Oreochromis niloticus: one gene and its partner. The protein of the gene in region 1 binds, or shares a complex with, the protein of each later gene. Links are inferred from orthologs where the notes say so. Each region holds a gene or a part of one and is shown in the gene's direction. Other genes may lie near its edges.

What was found.
Region 2: rbm22 (region 1) and bcas2 share a complex: the UniProt entries of both Homo sapiens proteins name them as parts of the postcatalytic spliceosome P complex. The link is inferred for Oreochromis niloticus from reciprocal best matches to the Homo sapiens genes RBM22 and BCAS2.

What each region holds. Positions count from the first base shown.
Region 1 is NC_031966.2:25,334,300-25,345,323, forward strand, and holds the start of rbm22 (pre-mRNA-splicing factor RBM22), read left to right. Parts: upstream 1-6,863; 5' UTR 6,864-6,962; coding exon 6,963-7,016; intron 7,017-8,157; coding exon 8,158-8,211; intron 8,212-8,324; coding exon 8,325-8,354; intron 8,355-8,487; coding exon 8,488-8,620; intron 8,621-8,730; coding exon 8,731-8,831; intron 8,832-8,994; coding exon 8,995-9,167; intron 9,168-9,306; coding exon 9,307-9,507; intron 9,508-10,368; coding exon 10,369-10,533; intron 10,534-10,907; coding exon 10,908-10,996; intron 10,997-11,024. UniProt on the Homo sapiens protein: Required for pre-mRNA splicing as component of the activated spliceosome. Involved in the first step of pre-mRNA splicing.
Region 2 is NC_031984.2:28,670,255-28,681,134, forward strand, and holds the start of bcas2 (pre-mRNA-splicing factor SPF27), read left to right. Parts: upstream 1-6,195; 5' UTR 6,196-6,321; coding exon 6,322-6,414; intron 6,415-8,124; coding exon 8,125-8,217; intron 8,218-8,308; coding exon 8,309-8,379; intron 8,380-10,184; coding exon 10,185-10,346; intron 10,347-10,436; coding exon 10,437-10,487; intron 10,488-10,580; coding exon 10,581-10,661; intron 10,662-10,748; coding exon 10,749-10,875; 3' UTR 10,876-10,880. UniProt on the Homo sapiens protein: Required for pre-mRNA splicing as component of the activated spliceosome. Component of the PRP19-CDC5L complex that forms an integral part of the spliceosome and is required for activating pre-mRNA splicing.

The sequences.
Region 1 (11,024 bases):
AAATGAGCTTTAAGCACCAAACCTATAGTTCAAAATATAATCATCATTGATTTCTAGTGTAAAATGTATGACAGGCTTAAAATTTAAAATACCTGGATGCGTTAAAAGCATTTCTTAAAGTAACACAGAGACAAATCACTGACAGATCTCTAACTCAGTTGGAAAAAAAGAGCAAAGCAAACATCTAAATGGACAAAGGAGGGAAAAAAATCTAATCATATCCGATGACTGATAGCACTTATGATGAGGACGGGGGGGTTAAAATATCCGGCGGTGAAGTGGTGCGTTCCCATTACGGCATCTCTCCATCTCTGAAAATGGCTTCATTAACAGGCCGGTGCCGAGAGCTCCCTAGCCGAGCGTACGAACGCGCAGTACCCCGAGGGTCCACCGGAAAGGCTGAGGTGAAGTCCATTAACACCCGACAGCTTGTTTTTTGACCACTAAATAAAACAAGATACTTTTTCTCTGTCTGCAGTATAAATAGCCTTTAGCTTAGGGGCTGGAGAGCACGAAAACTCTCCACTCGAAGTAGAAAATTAAACCCATTGATTTAGTGGTGTTGATCTGGAGGAAAGTGAAGATGTAAAAACCCATACGAAGAGCAAGGTCACGCAATATTCAGAAGCCAGTGGACCTTAGAAACAGCTTCTTATCAAAATTTATACAGAGGGTAGCCAAGCGAGGCTCTTTTGTTATTCATTAGAAGCAATTTAACAGCCAATCTTTGTTCAGTATAACTCCCGCTGTGGGCCTAATCAGAGCACAATTGAGTTTAATGTACTAAAGACAACTGATGTTTTTCCTACTACGTCATTCATTGTATCTTTTTCTGGATGAGCGTGTCAACTAAATGGCCTAAAGAGATGTAAATGTCTCTATCTTAGCAGTGGTAAGGGGAAATGGGTGTGATTTAAAAAAAAAAAAACCCTGCTCCCTGCCATATCTCATGACCTGTCTTGCTTTTCTGGCATACATTCTGACCCCTCAGGCAACCAGAGCCGGCTACCTCGAAGCCCATGACATAGGTCTTAATTTCCCAGCACTTACACTCCAGTCATGTGTCATTTGATGAAACACAACACCCCAGTTACCATTATTCGTCTGGATACAGGATCCTCTGGAATGTATCGGATTCCTGCCTCAGGGGGTATGCACCTCGGAAACATGGTCCTACCTCCACCAGCTACTCTCTCTTCCACCCTCCTCCCCCAGCCCCCTCTGCTTTCCATTCAGTAAAATTCCACTAGAGGCCTGCTTGATTCGCACTGCCTCATCGCCGATCAGCCTAGTACGCATCACAATAGAGGAACAGTTCATTGTATTGAGGGCAGTTTTCCTCCTTTGCGTCACACTGCCAGCTAAAGAGTAAACACCACGCTGAACTCCACCTTTTGTGCAACCAAAGTTGAAGCCAGGTCACACTGCCATCTGTGCATGAAAGCAGGTCCCAGGGCTCATAATGAAATTCAAATAGAAAAAAAAAACCCAAAACAAAACAAAACAATTTTGTGCTCTGGCACAACGAGGGTCACAATATATCTCCCCTCCCCAGAGAGCAACAGTTATACCATGCGGTACTCAGGCCAGTAGTACAGAGTATCTCTGAGCCACTGGCCTGCGTAATTCAGTCTAGGGAATTATGACAGTGGAAAATCATTTCCCCGGGCCGGGGATGGGAGGCCATGGCTAATCGTTCAGTAATCTGATCTGCCTGCATACTGTAGCATTCAGCTAGCCTAGCCAGCCACTCGCACATGTGGACACCCCTACCGCCTGCCAACTGTCTGGATGGACGCTAGCGCCATTCAAAGACAACTCTCCAGGTTTTCCCGAGGATTACAGATGCTATCGGATCATTTGCTAATACCCAGTTGTGCTGCGCTGTCTGAAATGTATTTACTTTGCTCCTGCTCTCCAATACGTCTCATGGTAGCCCAGCCTAAGCCCCAAAATGCCACCTCCACATTCCGGGACAGAAAAGACACATAAACGCAATCTACTTTATAGAGGCAACAGTGGCGCAATCTGCCTCTCGAACTCTGGCTTATTAATCCAAAGGCTTCATTTTAATGAGGAAACATCTGACTTTGTCTGTCAGACAGCAGGCTCTAGCTGGGTTTACGTCCAATTGCAGATTCCAGTATCTTGTGGAGCTAGTGGTGTTGTAGTAATATGTGAATAAAAACCATAGGGAGCAGCTCTGTGGCACAAAGCAGTGCTTATAACCAGCAGAGAAGGTTGAGGGTTGTTGAGGGGGGAGTTGAGTTTGGAAAGATGCCTGGCTTCAGCCTCACACTAAAGAGAGGTCTGCCCCCCACACACAGAGTGGAGCTACAAGGAGCAGTGACATGGAAAAATACAAGCGCTGGCAAGTTGTTGGGCCCTGCAGCTCCCAACAATTACTGCGCGTAGCTTTAAATGTGATGATAGTTACTGCATACAATTAAATTTACATCCGCCTCTACAAGGAGATAAGCAACAACGAAGGGCTGGAGCCTCTGATCGACAGCCGATCTCCCTCTGTTCCCTGTTAAAACCTTAAAATCAACAATGACATACAGCCTGTGATCATGCCTCATTCTGATAAACGCTCAAGACGCGCCTCGGTGACGCGATCTGTCATACAGCATCATACCCGCGCTATTTTATCAACCTGTGTATGTGTGTGTGCGCGTGTGTAGGCATTGTAGCCCTGCCGTGCCGTTTCACAGGTATATCTAAGTGAAAAGATGTTGATATATGATCAAATGGATGCGGCAGCAGTGGCAGCCTTCATCAGCCGAAAGCGCTAGATCACAGCATGGTTGGCAGCCAGTGGGAGCAGTCAGATGGAGGGTTAGAACAACCAGACAAACAGTTGGCACGGATAAATAGAACACAACTTAGGATCCGGCTTTCCACAAAATTTTGACAAACAAATGACAGCAACCTCACTCCTTAAAAAATATAATCTGCAAATGGAATAAGCCCCACTTTTTTTTCTCTCTCTCTCTCCACAGATGCAGGGTGGGACATTTGATAAACAACACATGGCTTGGGAATAGCAAAAAAGGAAAAGAAAAAAAAGTGAAGCTATGGTCAAATGAATCTCTTGATACATAAAAATCAGCAGGGCACCGCTTTTCACTTGCAAAAATTTGCTCTGCAGCTGAGGGGAAATGCAGGGAAAGTCCTTGTGACTTTGCCAAATACATTCTGAGCGTGAGTCACTGTTCTTTAGTAATCTCTTAGTCACTTGAGGTGCACACTTCCATGCTCCAACGCCCCAAGGCAACAGATTTCAGGCAGGTCTGGACTGCCAACCCCCCCTTTTTTCTCTTTTCTTTTTTTTTTTTTAAGTCTTTATAGTTTTTAACGGATGCGGTGCTTGGTGGAGGCATGCATTTGCTCTATTTTACGCCAGACAAGAGCAACAAAGCAGGCTCACAGAGAGAAGACACAAATCGTATCTGAGCCTTCCTTCTGTGCATGGCTGGAGCCCTTTTACAACAACCACCAAGCCACATGTAAACATATCAGAACCGGGTGCCTCTCTCGTGCACTTGAAAATGTCCCACTTTCTCAGAATAAAAAAAAACCTCATCTGGTTAATAATTTGACCTAATCAGCTTCACATTATTAGTTGTAAACAGTTAGTAAATTAGAAAAATACATAAACAAACACCAGCATTTAGATGACTCCTACAGGTATCTGATACATCCCATAATAGCAGCTTTTTACGAGCAAATTTCAAGAAAAAATATGATCATCTAAATCAAATGAAGTCATATTAAAGCACTAGTTACACTCCCGTGCTAATCTTTTGTCCGCCTCTTCCACGCGCAGCAGACACTCGCATAAATCTGTTTTTATTTTACGCACACTATCATTCGCCTTTTTAACCACAGCACTGTAACAGGTCTGCTGTTAACACTGCGGCCGGATAGTGCAAACTTATGGGAGGGCGATAATTTCTTAACACCGTACACACTGAGCCACAAAGTTGCAGAAAGCAGTTCTGCTCGGTGCCGAGCTGTGCCGCCGGGTCCCACTCGATAAAGGAATTCCCGTGAAAATCACGGAGCGGCTCTATCCTGAACACAAACTTCCACCCGACCCGCTCCACGACAATAACGTTAGCGCCTCGATCTCCGCTGCTACGTGGACGAGCGTGAAATCTGTGCCGAGGGGCCGCCACCATAATAACAACGCCGGGGCTTTATGTTCCCAGCTAGTGGGCAGAGAGAAAGAGAGGGAGATCAGGCCGGAAAAAAAAAACTGGCCTCATCTCCGTCTGCGCCAGACAACTAGCCTGGCCTGGGGAGACCGAGCGACGACGCTTTCGGTCGCCTACCAAATACAAGCAAAAACACCGCGACGCTCCGTGCGGTCGTGTCGATTTTCACTCACCTTGTCCGTGTGTGACGACGCACGGATGTTGTGCACACGAGGCCGGCCGGGTTGAATGTGGTGATTTAAGCGCGCCGGTCTCACGTCGTCTCGGTTTGCTGTCGGCCGTGATGTGGAAGCGGGCAGAGCGGACTCGGCTGGGAGAAATCGGGAAATGTGAGAAAGACCCTCTCTTCTGCAGCTCTGTGCACAGGCAGTAGCCCATAACTGTCGTCAGGAGGCGCCAGCGCGGCGCATTTTTCCTCCCTCTGATATGCGCATGCATGCAAGCTACAGAACTCCTCAAAGAAATCACTGTGCGATCTTGTTCCTGCAGGAGATTACTGCGGGAGCGTCCCTGCTCGACAATGCGGAGATTATTTGTCTTCTTGTGCTTCCACGTTTGTCGAAAACTATTTAAAATTGCACTTAAAAGTTTTAGATATTTTTTAGGCAAAGGGGTAGTTGAGGGAAAGCAATGCTGTGCGCAACAAGGAGCCAACATTTAGGTCATTTAACCGGTTTTGCATCAGTCTCTGTTTCCTTATAAGAATCACTTACACAGTGTTGAGTCATAGTGGCTTTATCACTGCATTACTACAGTTATCCTTTCAACCTACAGTATTTTCATTATCTTGTGAAGGGTATGTCTAATAGAATACTTGTAATTGCAACCATATTCTTAGTAATGCTTAATAATACAAAACATTTCACAGCAAACATCAATATCTTTGAATCATGTGCAATAAAACTGGTGACAATGGTCCAAAATAGCCTAAATAACAACCAAATGTCTGTCATGTCATGTGCCAAACAGATTCACACAGTACCAAGGCGATGATTCCTTGAAGCGGCTCTGTAACACGAAGCATCTGAGATGCGGCAGCACACCTACACGTCCTCTGACCTTGTAACTCTTGCGGTTGGTGATTTTAATTACAGGCCGGCTAAATCCGAGACAAAGCCGTCCTTCAAAACAACTTTGGCTCACGTGATCAAGGAGAAAGGGTCAGAAAACTCATTAGGACAAAAGGGCTGTGCCCAAAAGGTTTGCTTTGTTGTGCTATAGGGCAAGAGACTGCCTGTTCACCCCATTTGAAGGAAAACAACAGGAGAAGGCCAGTGGAAATTTCCATCTGCTCCCCTATTATGTAAATATGATTACTCAAACCCTCAATCATTAATGAATGGAGCCACCTATCTCATAGAATTCAACCAGTTTATACTTGAAATCCTAAATCTAAGTAAGAGATCAAAAGGAAAAGGACAACATGGGGATTTTCCACTCGGAGGTGGCCATAAAGAATCCCAGACGCTTCATCTTGACTTGCTGAAGGGCAGCTGCATGCTGCCAGTGCTCCAGACCTCCATCTAATCCCTGCCCTCTGACTCCACAACCTCGCTCTGACCTTAAATAAACATTAGGGACTTAGTTGCCATCTGTAATCTTCAACATCCTTTGGCCCACTAATTGGAGTTTCACACCGCAAAGACACCCTGACCTGAATCAGAGCAGGTGGACAGACAAACTATGTGTGTGTGTGTGTGTGTGTGTCGAGGACACAATTGGCTTACACAAGCTCTCACACATCAGCCAAGCAGTCTGTCTGTCTTCTGTTTTTCCCTGTCTCCGGAAATAGCACTTTGCAGCCTTTGTTTACAACAAATATCTCTGTATCAGCACCTCAGTTAAGCAAATAAAGCATTAAAGTCATTCTAAACCTCCCCACAGGTTGTAAGCGATATCATATTAGGTCACTGACTTTTAAGACTTACTCAAAAACACCAGTTGCGTTTTATGTTTTTGAGGTAAATTATTATTGTACACTGTCCCAATTAACAGTTCGTGTCATAGAGCCAAAGGGAAAAGCAAAAACACACTCAGGTTTACACCCAAGGTGCAGATGGACGAGTCACGGTTAGTATTTCTACAATGCTCACAGTTATTCTCTGATATTTACGTTCCTATTTTATTTTATCGTAAACCTGATAGTTTCTTGAAATAGAGCGACATCCTTAGGTGAAACGTGGCTATCTGGCCCGAGGTGCATTATGGGCTTTTGTAGTCTCGCAGACTACACAAGATTCCCACATCCCGCTAAACTAAACTCATCCTCAAACTGAGTCCTGATAGAACACATCTTAATCTAGACTCAAACCTAAAAGTAAAAACAGTAGTCACTTTAAAAATTTTCGCCAAGTGTACAGCGAGATCTGCAGGGTTGCCAGTTCTGCAGTTTTCCCGTAACTGGGCTAAGGTTAAAATGCTGCATTACCCCCCCCGGCGGGTTGAGTACAAATTATTGGTTAAGTAGACTCTTTTCGAAGGAGCTTCCATGTACATCTATAAATACAAACTCATTTTTGAAATGAAACAATTCATATATTAATATGTAGTTACATACATGTTTACATATCCCAGCAAACCGAGTCTAGCTCACATGTCATCCACGTACAGGTACTCTCTGCCGACCGCTGCCTGTACCGCTACCAGCTTTGGCTGCTGTGGGCGCCAGTTTTGATTGGCTATTGGGGTGGTTTTTGACGCAGAGACCTGGCAACCCGTTCCGGTTGCTCCACAGTCAGCAAAATGGCGACTTCCCTAGGCTCCAACACTTACAACAGACAGAACTGGGAAGACGCGGTACGTTTTATCGGGGTTATATGTTACCGAGTGGTTCCAGTGACTGATGTTAAGTTACATTTTATGAGTAAATATAATCGGGAAACACGCTAGCTTTTTACTAAACTATTCAGTTCTCTTGGTAGTTAGCCTTCCGCTAGCTAGCGGTAGCTAGTTGTAGAAGCGTGGCTGCTAGCTTCAATAGCTCACCTGTATACATCGTTGCTTACGATATTTTACGTTAGTTCATGAAACGTACCTGTTTCCGCTGGATCCAACTAGAGCATATTTTTAGGTTGTAGTAAAAACAACAGCGACTGAGCTCACAGCTATCATTGCTAACGTAATTTAATCCTGGGCTGTGTGATAGTTAACTGGCTACACCTATGAAGGCCAGCACTAGCAGGCTAACAATGCTAAAACGATGGTAGGCGGGTGAAAGTTTGCTTATATAAATGAATATAAGAAACCGAAAAAGCCACACAGTCCGGGGTGGCACCACTGTTTTGTAAAGTCGCATAAGCAAAGTGACATTGAAAAACCAAACCTTCTTGTTAGGCAGGTTTGACAGCGGTGTTGTGAAAATGTTAGAGAAAATTTAGTCTATAAAAATAGTCTTTACACTGCTGGGCACTATTTCAACAGTGATTGTTATATAAGGTCACAAATAGACCAGTCCTTAATTACTTATAAAGGAAACACAAAACATGTTTGTGACCTACCTAAAGATTATTTACCCTATAAGGCAACAAATCACTTTCCCTAATTGAGCTATGACACCACAGGACATTTATCCAATGTTAGTTTTGTTAAGACACTAGACTAAACTTTGCAACCCTAGATTATGTAGATGACGCTTCAGCCATAAGATCTGCTTATATTTAGATGTTTGGCTGATGCTGTCTGGGAGACGGATTAGGGCAAGGCCGTTTTCAGCACCCAGCACTCGGACTGAAACAGCATCCTTTAACAGATGGCAAAATAGGACCCATAGCGCTCCCTGTATTCACTCTTACCTGTACGTGTGCCAAGGTGCTCACAGCAGAAGGAAGGTGAAGCAGAGATGGAGAGCCAAGTTGGTCTGTTGAATAACTTAATTCAAGGGATTGTTGGATAAACCGGATTACAGTGCTTGATTTTCACAGTTCTTCTTTCTCCTCAGGATTTTCCGATTTTGTGTCAGACATGTTTAGGAGAAAATCCTTACATTCGTATGGTGAGTGAGTATCCCTGTGTCTTCATAGCAAATTCAAGACTGTTTTAACACTTTGTGTAGTGTTAATATCAGCAAATGTGCAAGTCCAAATATGTTCATGCTTTGTTTTACAGACCAAGGAAAAATATGGGAAAGAATGCAAGGTATGGTTTTTTTTCTTTCTTTCGTGTTAACTGTTTAAATTATAAATTGCCCACAGTATACAGGCCTGTTTGATGCATGTACAATGACAATAAAGAACTATTCTATTCTAATACGTTGCTCTCCGCCTATCAGATCTGTGCTCGGCCCTTTACCGTGTTCCGATGGTGTCCAGGAACACGTATGCGTTTCAAGAAGACAGAAGTCTGTCAGACCTGCAGTAAAATGAAAAATGTTTGTCAGACATGTCTGCTGGACCTGGAGTATGGTGAGTCTCTCGGACCAGCTCCTCTGGGTTTTGTCGCTGTGCAGATTTCATGAGCCCCTCATTTATGTAGTTCTGAGCGTAACCCTCCTGCCATCTCTTGTGTTTGACAGGTTTGCCTATCCAAGTCCGAGACACTGGACTCTCCGTTAAAGATGAGGTTCCTCGGTCAGATGTGAATAAAGAGTACTACACACAGAACATGGAGAGAGAGGTAAAAAAAAAAAAAAAAAAAAAAGCTCCTTTCTCATGACTGCAGTATGCTTGCACAGTGATAACAGTATTTACTGGTCCAATGTCTGATCCAATGTTTTTTAAGCAAACATAAGAGAGAGATTTTCCATCCATCATGCCTCTCTGGACTTTTTTGTTTACAGATAGCCAATTCCGATGGCACTCGGCCAGTGGGCCAGCTTGGTAAGGCTCCAAGTTCTAGTGATATGTTGCTGAAGTTGGCTCGGACCACACCATATTACAAGAGGAACCGGCCACACATCTGCTCCTTCTGGGTGAAGGGAGAGTGTAAGAGAGGGGAGGAATGTCCCTACAGGTGAGTGCCATGATGCTAGTCTCCATGGAGCCGATTGTTTCTTTCTTTTAATATCACCTCACATATATTAAGACATCGCTATGGGTTAGTTGAAGTGTCATATTATATTTATTGTTTTTCGGTTGCCCTCTTTACACAGGCACGAGAAGCCCACAGATCCTGATGACCCTCTAGCAGACCAAAACATAAAGGATCGTTACTATGGCATCAATGACCCAGTGGCTGACAAGTTGCTAAAGCGGGCTTCAACTATGCCCCGACTGGACCCACCAGAGGACAAATCCATCACCACTCTCTACATCGGGGGGTTGGGAGACACTGTTACAGATGGAGACCTCAAGTAAGCATTTCTGCTTCATAATGACCTCTTTTACAGCTTGCTGTGATAATTTATTGTTATGCCTCGATACCCGGGACAGCCGTGGCTGGAGGCATTGTGTTTTTGGCTGTCTGTTCATCCATCTGTTCCATTCCTATCTTATCTCTCTCATCTCTATTTAAATGTGGCACAAACAAAGATGAGCTGGTTAGAATAATACAAAATACAAATGTCTAATTATACTAAAATGATCATAGCGTATGTATCTTTGTATGCTCCTTATCGCCTCCAACACAAGTGTAGCAATCTTGATGAAACTTTGTATAAACATTGCCTAGGGCACTGTGAGTGCCAACATTTGTATGGCCTATAGGAGTATTTTATAGAAATCCCACAGTCGTTTATTGTTGTACATTTGACAGTTCAATTGAGCGGTGCAGTGTCAGAATAGAATGTTGTCACAATATAATGTATCATAGCATTACACTGTAATGATCGTAGCATATGTACATTTGTTCCTTCTCCGCGATGCATAGCAAGGGCGTTTGCCAGTAATACAAAATGCTGATGGGATGTTCTACGAGAGCAATTTGCTGACTGTTACTCAAAGAAATAATTCAGGAAAAGAAGAAGAGATTGTGGTCATATGTCACGTTTGGTCAGATTCTAAATTGGTGACACTAATCTTTCGTGCCTGCCTAATAAACTCTTCTAAAGCTTCCGCTACATGTATTATTAGGCTAGACAGCTGTTGTTGCCAGCTAGAGGGTTACAGCCACAAGCGGATATTGTTATTTCTACTTACTTTGTAAATTTTGCTGTGTTGCAATATTTTTATTTCACTATTTTGTGTATGATGATCTCTTATCTGTGTCATTGCAGGAGTCACTTCTACCAGTTTGGTGAAATCCGAACCATTACCATAGTCCAAAGGCAGCAGTGCGCTTTCATCCAGTTTGCCACGCGGCAGTCGGCTGAAACGGCTGCTGAAAAGTCCTTCAACAAACTCATTATTAACGGACGAAGACTCACCGTCAAGTGGGGAAGGTAAGAATCCGATCAAAAGTTAAACATTGTCCAGCTTTGTGAATATTAAGAGCAACACCAGAAGGTAATGAATCCATTAAAGAGGGCTCATAACAATGTGCATTACAAAACATCATTTTGCAATTTGATTCTTTTAAGCTTAACCCCCATAAACCCCCATCAAGGAGAGCCATTTAGGTGAAGATGTAAATTTTAAAAGTGATCATTTGCCATGTTTAAAGGTAACGCCCTGACACAATGCTCGACTCAAAATGTAAATGTAGAAAGAGTTTAATCAAATTATGCAAGGCATGAGGCTTAAAATTGTTTCTCCTGGATGGTGAATGTTGCAGTATCATTAGTCATTGTCTGACTTGTGCTGTGTGCCCATTTAGGTCCCAGGCAGCAAGAGGAAAGGAGGGAATCAAAGATGGTGTCAGTGAGATGGGTACCAGACTTGATCCTGTGCCTGGACTGCCTGGAGGTGAGTCTGGGGAAGTTGGAGTTTGAGG
Region 2 (10,880 bases), on another chromosome or scaffold:
TCAGTCTGTTCACACACAACTTATCCTCCATTTTCAGTGTTTTCTCCCATGGTGATATTTCAGCCTTTGTCTCCTGTATTTGGTTGATCTCATCTGTGCTCAGATACGTCTGGAGGATGTATCTCTCTGGGGTTACCGTTTCTACTGTCTCTGTCTTTGCCTCCTCTAATTCTTTTGTCTGCTCATCCATTTTTTTCTCCATTTCTTTTGTGTCCTTCACCACTTTCTGCTCTTCCAGGACTTTCTTATTTTCTTCCTCCAGGACTTTCTTCTCCTGCTCCAGAACAAAGCTACGGTGTTACAATGAATCCGATATTGAGATAAGACTGAGGGTAGCAGAACAAAAGTTCATCCAGTAATCGCTCGTGACTGTAAGTAAGAAACGTGCGACAGTGTGCGGTTTCACCTGGCTATTTATGGGTTTGGGTTGACTTTGATGTCAGCCCATGATTCTCTTGCCTTTCATCTTTGAAACTAGCCCCGCCCACAACAACGCTCCCTATTGGCTGATTGAAAATAGGTAACGCGCACAAAGAACATTCTGTCAGAGTTTCTGACGTCATGGCCTGATGCCCTTGCCTTTCATGTTTGAAACAGGCCTTAATTTGCTTAAGCATTTGGGTCACTTCATTGAAAACAAACAAAAAAGCAGTGTGATAAATTTTACTCAGGTACTAGAAACTTAGTGTTCCCTTTTGAGACTATCTTCTTTAGGTGTTTATACCTTAGCGCCTCACAAGTTTCTAGTTAATTTTACAGACATCCAGTTTACTTTCTTCGTTCCCTTCTTCCCTAATGGCAGACGTGTATGGCGTTATTTTTGTGCCACTATTCTGAGCCCACGTAAAAAAAAATTGCAGGTGCAAGTGTTGCATTTTGAGAAGAAATTTATTTTGAGCGAAGAAAAGCTAAATTTGAGTGAACAAAATTCATTGCTGCGTGCAAAGCAGCAGTTTATCGGCAGCTGAGAGGAAGAGGTTGGATAAACTCATCAGGAAGGCCAGCTCTGTTCTGGGATGCACCCTGGACCCAGTGCAGGTGGTGGGAGACAGAAGGACTCATGCCAAAATAACATCTCTGATGGACAGAGTCTCCCACCCCATTCATGTAAATGTTGCTGAACTGCAGAGCTCCTTCAGTGACAGACTGCTGCATCCTAGATGCATGAAGGAGCGTTTCCGCAGGTCCTTCCTCCCCGCAGCTGTCAGACTGTACAATCAGAACTGCTCCCAACAAACATAGATGTTTACATCTGCGCTGTAACTGCCATAAGTTAATTAACCGATTCGCACTACAACCTGGTTTGCCTCTTATCTGTAGTTATTTTTATTTAATTTAATAACTGTATGTAAATATTACTTTTTCTGGATCACAAAATAAACTTTTAAGATATTTTCATGCGAGAATGGTGCTGTGTAAACTTCAAATGTCTGCTTAATTCATCAAGACTTCACATATTTGCAAAAGTGCTCTAATGTTTTTGGAGATGCCTGTTACCCACCAGCTAACCGCACAGCTGGACAGGCCATTGGGCATACCAAATTGCTGATTTTTCACTTTTATGTTTGTTTGTTTTTGTAAGGGTATAAACAATGAAGTGTGGTGGATTAGCCACTTGATCGTGATGAACTCTGGGCTGGACCAATTACAATACATCCGTATTGAGGTGAAAAGGAACGGGATTCGTCCCGGACTTCAGCTAGAATGAAAAAAAGACACAAAGCTTGGAGTTATTCTGTGTCTTTGCTGCACAAATGCCCTTTCTTCTCTCATTCTATCCCCCTCCCTCTCCTGTTACCACTTCAATCATGAAACTGATCAGCTGATCGGCTTTTCTGCCGTCTCTCTTGTTTATTGCCCACTTTGCGCCAGAAAGCAGAAACCAGCGGATGTTGCGCTAAACAACAGCAGCACGTTCAAGCTTGATAAGCTGTTGTTAGAATTTATTTAATATTACTTTGTAGTATCAGCTGATGTTCTTTCTGGCGCAAAGTAGCCGATAAACAAATCGCCACTCTGTGGTTGTATCCCAATTCAGGGTCTGCAGCCTTAAAGTACGCAGCCTTAACGGTCCTCAAGGGCCGCGTACCCAAAGACCGCTAAGGCCGGAAGTGCGAGGCTTGTGAAATGGGACGGTCTAGCCTCCGTCGCGCTGCCCAGGTTGCCTAGCAACCATGATACTAACCGCTGGAAACGTGTCATACAGCTTTGTTTGACAGAAATGAAGGAGAACATATCTTGTTCATTTGTTTGTTTCTACATGAGCTCTGTGTGATTTAATAAGTATCTGAGGCTGAGACCACAGGACTGTAAAACATGATTGTTGGGCTTCATTTCTGTACTGAACAGTTATTTTAAGGTTAGCTAGTAAATAACAATTAGCTAATGTTGTTCATGAGACTAAAGTCATCTCACTTTGGTAATGTAAATATAATATGGCCAATGTTATAGTTATTATATTAATCATTATTAGTTATTACAGCAGTGAACTTGAACTCTGTGTTAAATACTGAGCTTCAGTAAAGATTCAAGTTGCAGTTATTTATATTTCCTTTCACCTTAAATCTTCACTCAAAGACAAGTATCTCTGACAGTGTATCTATAGATGTATTATATATAAGAGACAATTGTTAGTTTAATATGTTGGCATTACTAAATTTGGCTCAATGCTTACATATATGTGTAAAAAGAAAATGTACGAGCTGTGATAACCGTTTCTGATAGAATGAAGATCAGACTGATATATTAAATATTCCTTTATTGGGTGAGAAAATCATACCATGTCATAACTGCTGTAAGTCGTACAGAATAGATATCAGAGCCTTAAACAGGCTGACTTCTGCTAAATGGGTCAAACTGGGCAGAAAGTATACAAACACATAACATCCTTACAGTATAGAATATGATGTAACACTATAGATCAACTTACCTCAGAATATATAAAGCATATAAACAATTACAGCAATATGATGCAACAAACACAGCAGTACTACTAATCCAAAATACTCAAAGCTTCATAGAACTGAAACAAACATGGACATTTATTTTTAGCTCCATTCTGCTGCTGATACATACTTCAGATTTCTGAATATTAAACTTGTTGCTGCCTTTCATAGTGTTTAACTTAAAGGCCCTGAGTACTTTCTCCCACACTGAAAACACTGGAATGATCAAATTATTTGAACATTACCTAATAAGACTGATTCAGGACAGACAATTAGTTATTTTAAACTTTCCTAGCAGTCCTTCACAAACAGGGAACAGTCTGTCTATACTCTCCATCTGTCAGCTGCTGCTGACTCTTCCTCTTCCTCTTCCTCACACACTGCTGAGTTTGTCCTGGTGGATCATCAGGGGTGCAAAGCCTCACAGATGATGTGCAGCAGTGGGTCCCTCAGTCTGTCCTCACTCTGGACACTTGCAGTTGTCACACATGGAAATCAAATGTGTGATAAGCTGCAGGATTCAAACACAAGTGTAACTTATAAATACATGTTCATACTTTTATTCCACAATCAGAGAGAAAGAAACAGAAAGAGTGCAGGACAGACAGACAGGTGACAGTCTCAGGTGTATACACTGCTACAAAACAGCACAAGAGAAGGAGGATTTAGTGTTTGTGTTATTACGAGTGCTAAACAAGAAGAGTTCCCAGATGGTGCAGTGGACACATGTGTGACTCCTGTGATTAAAGCATCTTTCTTTCAGCTTAACGAGTGAACCGTCACCTCGTTCAAACACACGTTAAAGTCCGTTTGGCTCGACTCCACCGAACAGAGGCAGCACACAGCTAACATGAACAGTGCAGTGAATCCTGCTTGTGCCGTGATATTCAGGACTGCAAACCGAGCAGCATCACTGACTTTCAGCTTGTTGTGTTTGTGGATATATGACTGACTTTAATTGTCCATAAAATCATCACATTCTCTGTAAAATTAAGGCTATTGAGCGGCGTATATTTTAAAGTAAAGGCTTTAAAACCAAGTTAGTACTAACATTGCTAATGTTTTAATGTTCTTCATTATTAAACATTTGCACATAAATAAGTAACATAATATTCAGTACTTACTTTTAAAGGTTTACTGTTTTGCCGCCCGGCTTCCGCCGTTTTTTTCGGCAAAATTATCCACACCCACCGCCGCGCTATGAAGTCTGGGATATGTTGGGCCATGAAGTCTACACCGACCCATCCTTAAAATCCAGGGAAATGAAGGACGCATTTGAAGGCCGCATAGACCCTGTGCACGAGAAAACGCTAACTTCCTGTTTTAAGACCGGATGTAGGGTTGTACATTTCCGGTAACTTTATTTTGCGGTCAATCGCTACTGCGAAGGTGGACTCCAAAATCATGTCCAAAATACGGAAAATGGAGAGATCGCGTTAAGTTACAAAGAGCAGGAGGTGGGAACACTCATCATTGCTGTGTCATAAAAAAATCAAATGATCAGTTTTGACGTTTGAAGCGTGTAGATCGATTGGTTGTTTACATTACTCAACACAAGCAAACCTGCATTACAAAATCAGAATCATCCACATTCAGAAGCACATCTCTGTATAGTGACAGTTCTTATGATTTAAAGAGGGAAATGTCCAGTATTCAAACTACAGGTTAACAAGAGTCAAAGCCAAATATCAGCTGGTCAAGTGCACACCTCCACAGCATGTCAACAAACCGTGAAAAAAAGCCACAGGATATAAAAAATACATGAATGATTGCTGGTAAGGGTCTCTATATATTAGTATTTACGAAGGGTATGTTGTGACTTATCTTCACAATTACAGTGGTCCCTCGCTAAAACTCGCCAGAGGGAGTGTTCGCCCAGGGCGCCAAACAGGCTAGGACCACCACTGAAAGTCACCCACATTATTATAGCATTTCATGAATTAATAATTAATTGCCCAATAAAATATTCACCAGTAAATGAATTTACAAATTCATTTTAATATATTCTATTTATTAAGGCATCAGTAAAGCAATTTATTATTTGATAATTCATTGTTCAATAAAAACAGGAGGTAAATCTTTCTAAATGAAAAGCAATTTACAGCAAAAGATTGAAACACTCAATAAAAAACTAATTTAAGAAAGTATTTCCAAATTAAAATGTTAAAAACAGATTTTCCAAATTTTTACAGAATAAAATGTAAGATAGAAATAAGTAAATGAATTCCTCAATTTAATTAGGAATACAAACTTTTCTGAAATCAAAAATAATGCTTGTTTCCCTTTTCGATTCATTCTCTTTTCCTATTAGCTATTGGATTACCCTCTCCAATGAGGAAATCCCACTCTTACTTCACAGTATGTTGGACGTAAGCAATCAATGTCCAGTATGTTGCAATAACTAGCATTTAAGCTTAGGCATCAAAGGTTTGGTAAAATAATATGAGTACTAACAAGTTGTGTAGGGTCACGTTAGGATTGCACAACTCTGCTATGGCTAATTGGCGTTGTTTTATTCACAAAGACCAAAAGAGTCATGGAAAGGTTACATGGAGAAGCTAATCAAATAGATTATCCTATAATAATAAGATCATTGATTTATTGTTTAGACTCAACATACTGCTGAGGAGGTCAGGGTTTCCAAAATAGAGAAGTTAATCCAATAGCCAATCCAATAGCTAAGGAACAGAAATGGAATTAAAAATGAGGGATGGCATCATCATTTTAAATGTCAGAAAGGTTTGTCTTTCAGTTTTTAACTCCATTGACCTGTTTCTCTTATTAAATTGTATTTTTTAAACTATTTTGAAAATCTGTTTTTACATTTTTAATTTCAAGCTGTTTTTTTAATAAGTATTTCATATATTTGTCTGTAAACCCTTTTTCAGTTAGAGATATTTCATATGTATTAATAGTTTGTAGAAAATATGTATTTTTAATGTCTATTGATTGATCAAATAATGAATTACTTTGTTAATTACGGTGGCTGGGAAGTGCAAAGCGCAAGAAATTAAAAATCCGCAAGAAATTAAAAAACCGCAACAAATTAAAAATCCACAACAAAATAAAAAACCGCAACAAATTAAAAATCCACAACAAATTAAAAGAGAACATTAAAAAAGGAATTTAATAATTAATGTTTTATTGCAGATTCAATTATGAATTCATGGCATGCTTTATTTCGATGTGCGCTATGCTCCACGCTTCAAAGAAGAAACATTAAGATAAACACTCCAAACCATGCGGTGGCGCTAAAGCACAGATTCAAAGAAGAAGCGAAAATTAACGAAGAAGAAAAGGGACACTTGGGTTTTGAGTTTATTTAGCAGAAAGCGAGACAATTCAATAAAGTGAACGATATATAGACTGATTAAAAATGGCCGGGACGGCTTCAGTAGCTGGAGAAGTGTTTGTAGATGCTCTGCCATATTTCGACCAAGGTTACGATGCGGCAGGTGTGAGAGAAGCGGTGAGTAAACGGGCAGTTCAACCACAGCGTGTTAGCTAACCATGCTACATGCCACACTGCAATGTTTCAGCGGACACTATAAGTTTGATTTCTGAAGCTGGGTAATGTGCTCTGTTAACCAGACGCATGTCAGGACAGTGTCTTTATTATGTAGATTAAATGAAATCTTGAAAAACCCCTTCTTTATATTTTATTAGATAAAAAAGCGAAATAGATGTATAGATTCATTGAATAATTTCTTCCCTTTTCTCATTTTTAAGAATTGGTTCTTGACAGCTACCCTTCTACTGAGATAATTTCTCGTGAAGTGAACAGTAGATGGGTCAAATGATGGTCCAGATGTGTATCTCAGGTCCGGTGTCAGGTCTCTGCTATATTTTTCTAATTTCTGAAAGACATGACTTTCAGATACAGTAGATGGTTCTTAGGTCTGCCACTTCTTGTTTTGTTCAATTTCTTCAAATTTCACAACAGGCAGAGAAATACGAAATTTCCATTTAACAGCTCTTTGGCAATCAACTTGTTGACCCAAAACAGTATTTTATGGATTCTATCGGGGTTTTTCTTTGTATTTTTTATTTTTATTTTGTAGATTTAACAAAAGAAATGGGGGGAAAAATTAGATGTTATTGTAAGAGGCTGCTGGTGACAAAGTATCTAAAGATACAATTTAAGTTGGGTTTTCTCACTGAAAACTAGTGAGAAAGCAGCCCGTGTCCAAAGAAAACGTTTGAAAGATCTTCACAAAGCCTGAGAGCTGTTGCTTCAGACAACTTTTAAAAAAATGACCAAGAAACAAATGAGGGGTAGCTCAAGACTTTTGCACATTGATATATATTTGTGTCAGTGTTTTCAATAATTTCTTCGTAGTCATTACTAAACACTTCACTGATCAAGACATTTTCCCTGGATCCTCAGTTTGCTCTCATCACATCTAAGGTAGACAGATTACTGCCGTTTGTGTCATGCAGCTCTGCAGTCTGTAGTAAGAGCAGCTATTGCAACAGTCACACCAAAGTGGCATAACAGGAGAGCTGACAACAAAAAAGCACTCTGACACTCCCACGGCAGTGTGTGCAGCATCATTTGGCAAAAAAACAGTTACTCATTCAGCACTTGATGATTTTTCTTAAATCTGACAAAAATATGAGGGTGTTTATTGCCTATGTTTGGATTTTATCCTCTTAGTATGTGAGCGGTATTTAATGTTTTCTTGATTTGCTGTAAGTTGGAGTCCATTAGACTAGAACAGTTTTACAGCAACATTTATTTTTCTTCTCAAATTCTTCTCTCAACTTGCAGCTCAATGACTCAGTGACTGTACTTGTCCAGTCATTGATCTCCTTCATGCTCAAGAATAATATTGCATTTGTCAAAAGTTGTTGCAGTAGAATATTTTAATATGGTAGCAATGGGAATGTTTGATTTTTCACTAGTCCCAGTCTGTTATCAGAAGTTATGTGCGCTAAAGGTCTGTTTCATTTTTCCATGTTTATGAAAAAAAGAGAAGTGTACCTTTTAACCAATAAATATTGGCCCACAGTTTCTAAACTGATGAATTCCTAATTAAAAGGCTGAACCTCAAAGTGTTTCAGTGGTCGAGTAACAAGAAGTGAATTGTGCAACTCTAATGCAATTCATTTCAAGTGAATTTCCCAGTGGCTGCAAAATATTCCCCGTGCCAAACACGAATCCTGTTTCCTCCTTCAGGCAGCAGCGTTGGTCGAAGAAGAGACGAGAAGATACCGACCTACAAAAAACTACCTGAGCTACCTGCCTACTCCTGATTTCTCTGCTTTTGAGGTGATGAACTCATCAGTTTAAAACCTTCTTAGTGGTTTCAGCTGTTGACAAGGAAATAACGGCACTTCTTCTTTGTTCTCACCCCCTTCAGACAGAAATAATGAGGAATGAATTTGAGCGGTTGGCAGCTCGGCAGCCGATGGAGCTCCTGAGTATGAAGAGGTAAATCCTGCCAGCTGTAAGAGCCTGGTGGTAGCTTAGCTGCAAGTTGAGCTTTTTGCTTATTTGTCACAGAGGAAGAGAGATGAGTTCATATCGTCAACCTACTACACTGCTTCTAAGTTCTTTCTAGGCTGTTCACCCATTCACTGATTTACACTGTAAAGTTATGTTTTTAATGCAGTGTAGTCTCAGGGCCCAAAGATCACAACCATTCATTTAAAGTTTGTCAAGGACGATGCAAAATGTGGTTCTTAAATTGTTGATCTGCTGTTGTGCAGTCCTGTGAGTTTTTGTCCAAAGCTTCAGCTGTTGGTCACATTTGACTTAAGAATATTTTCGTATACAGAGGTGTTCATGGTCAGCTCAGTGACTGCAAGATGCCCAGGCCCTGTGGCTGCAAAACAAGCAAAAATCCACCGTGCTTGACAGTTGATGTGAGACACTTGTGCTGATGTGCTGTGTTTGGTTTTCTGTTCAAAAGACTTTGTTACAGAAGTGTTTTGGTTTGTTCAAATGCAACTTTTTCTAATTTTACTGTCATAAACTTTAACATTTAACATGCTAATCGAGGCCTGTAGAGTCTGAGATGTAGTCCCTGGTCATTTTGCAGTTTCTCTGAGCATTTCACGATCTGACCTTGTGTTACAAGTTGCTAGGACTGTAGCATCGTTATAACAAACTGACAAAACTTCAGCTTTTAAAGAGGTGCTCACAGGTGCTGATGATCAGTTAATAAATTACATTTGATTGGCATGATCTGGCTGCTACAGTCATAATTCATATGGAAGCAGAATGGATGTACTTAGTTTTTCACAGGATTTCATAGATTCTTGTGAAAAAAAAAAAAACTGTTTTTATATGACTTGCTTTTTCAGTAGTAGCTATATCCCTCCCCTTCTTTAATTACACAACTGTTCAAGTCACATGGCACATGATACATGATTCTGGCACCACATTAAAAAAAAAAGAAAGAAAAAAATAGAAATTCAACATTTTATGTGGCACTTAAATGATGTCCACATTTTCGGACAGGCCAGTTAACTCAGCTCTTGTTGTTGTTGTTTTTCTAAATGTACATTGTGGATAGTATTCCAACATATTTGGAATACTGCGTGGTAACTGTATTTTTCTGCTTTTTCTTCTGCCTTCATTTCTGATTTATTGGTTCGCATGTTAAAGTTTAACCCTCTGCTGTAAAAGGCTGATTGGGTATTATCGTCACCCGGACAGGCAGCGTGGACACCTAAGTTTGTGAATGCAATAACTAAAGAATAGCAGCTGCAGACGATACCATAGGTGCATCTACTAAAAAATCTCAGACGAATTCTCGGTGACCTCAACCTCAACTTCAGAGGTCAAGTTTTCTGAAAACTTTGTGAGAGCGATAATTGAAGAACACAACAATGTAGGATTTTCAAGTTGATACCATCGGCGTGTTGATATCGTGGCTCAGGGGATTGGGAAGCTCATCTGTAACCGGAAGGTTGCTGGTTCGATCCCCCTGCTCTCTCTGTCCTGGTCGTTGTGTCCTTGGGCAAGACACTTTACCCTACCGCCTACTGGTGTTGGCCAGAGGGGCCGATGGCGCGATATGGCAGCCTCGCTTCTGTCAGTCTGCCCCAGGGCAGCTGTGGCTGCAACTGTAGCTTGCCTCCACCAGTGTGTGAATGTGAGAGTGAATGAATAGTGGAATTGTAAAGCGCTTTGGGTGCCTAGAAGCGCTATGTAAATGCAATCCATTATTACTAGGCAGAGGTTTAGCACTGCTGATCACCAGTATTTTAATAAATGTTTTCCTCATTGAGGTATGAGTTGCCGGCGCCCTCATCAGGACAGAAGAATGACATTACAGCGTGGCAGGAGTGCGTGAACAACTCGATGGCCCAGCTGGAGCACCAGGCGGTCCGTATCGAGAACCTGGAACTCATGTCGCAGTATGGAACCAACGCATGGAAGGCCTACAACGAGTGCGTACAGTCTCGAGATCCAGTCTGCACAGTGTTGATGTCTGTGGGGAAATACTGCTAACACGTGTCGTGTTTGTTTTTTTTCTTCAGCAACTTGGCCTTCATGATTGAGATGGCACAAAAGGAACTTCACAAATTCAGGTGAGTTCATTGCCTCAAAACTTTTTTGTTCCAAAACACGGTGTTTAACGTGTTTTAATATTTACCTGTTTGTGTGTTTGTTCTGCCACACAGGAAGCAAATTCAGGATTTGAACTGGCAACGTAAGAACGATCAGTTGGGAGCAGGAGCCAAACTCAGAGAGCTGGAGTCTAAGTATGTAGTTGGAAGAGTTTATGTTTTTATCACTGACGCGTGGAAGTTTCCCTTCTGTTTTAACATGTGTATTTGTGTCCTCAACAGCTGGGTGTCACTGGTCAGTAAGAACTATGAGATCGAGCGGGCAATCGTTCAGCTGGAAAACGAAGTCACTCAACTCCGGCAGCAGCAGGGAGACGAAAACAAGGAGAACATCCGACAGGACTTTTAGGAGCT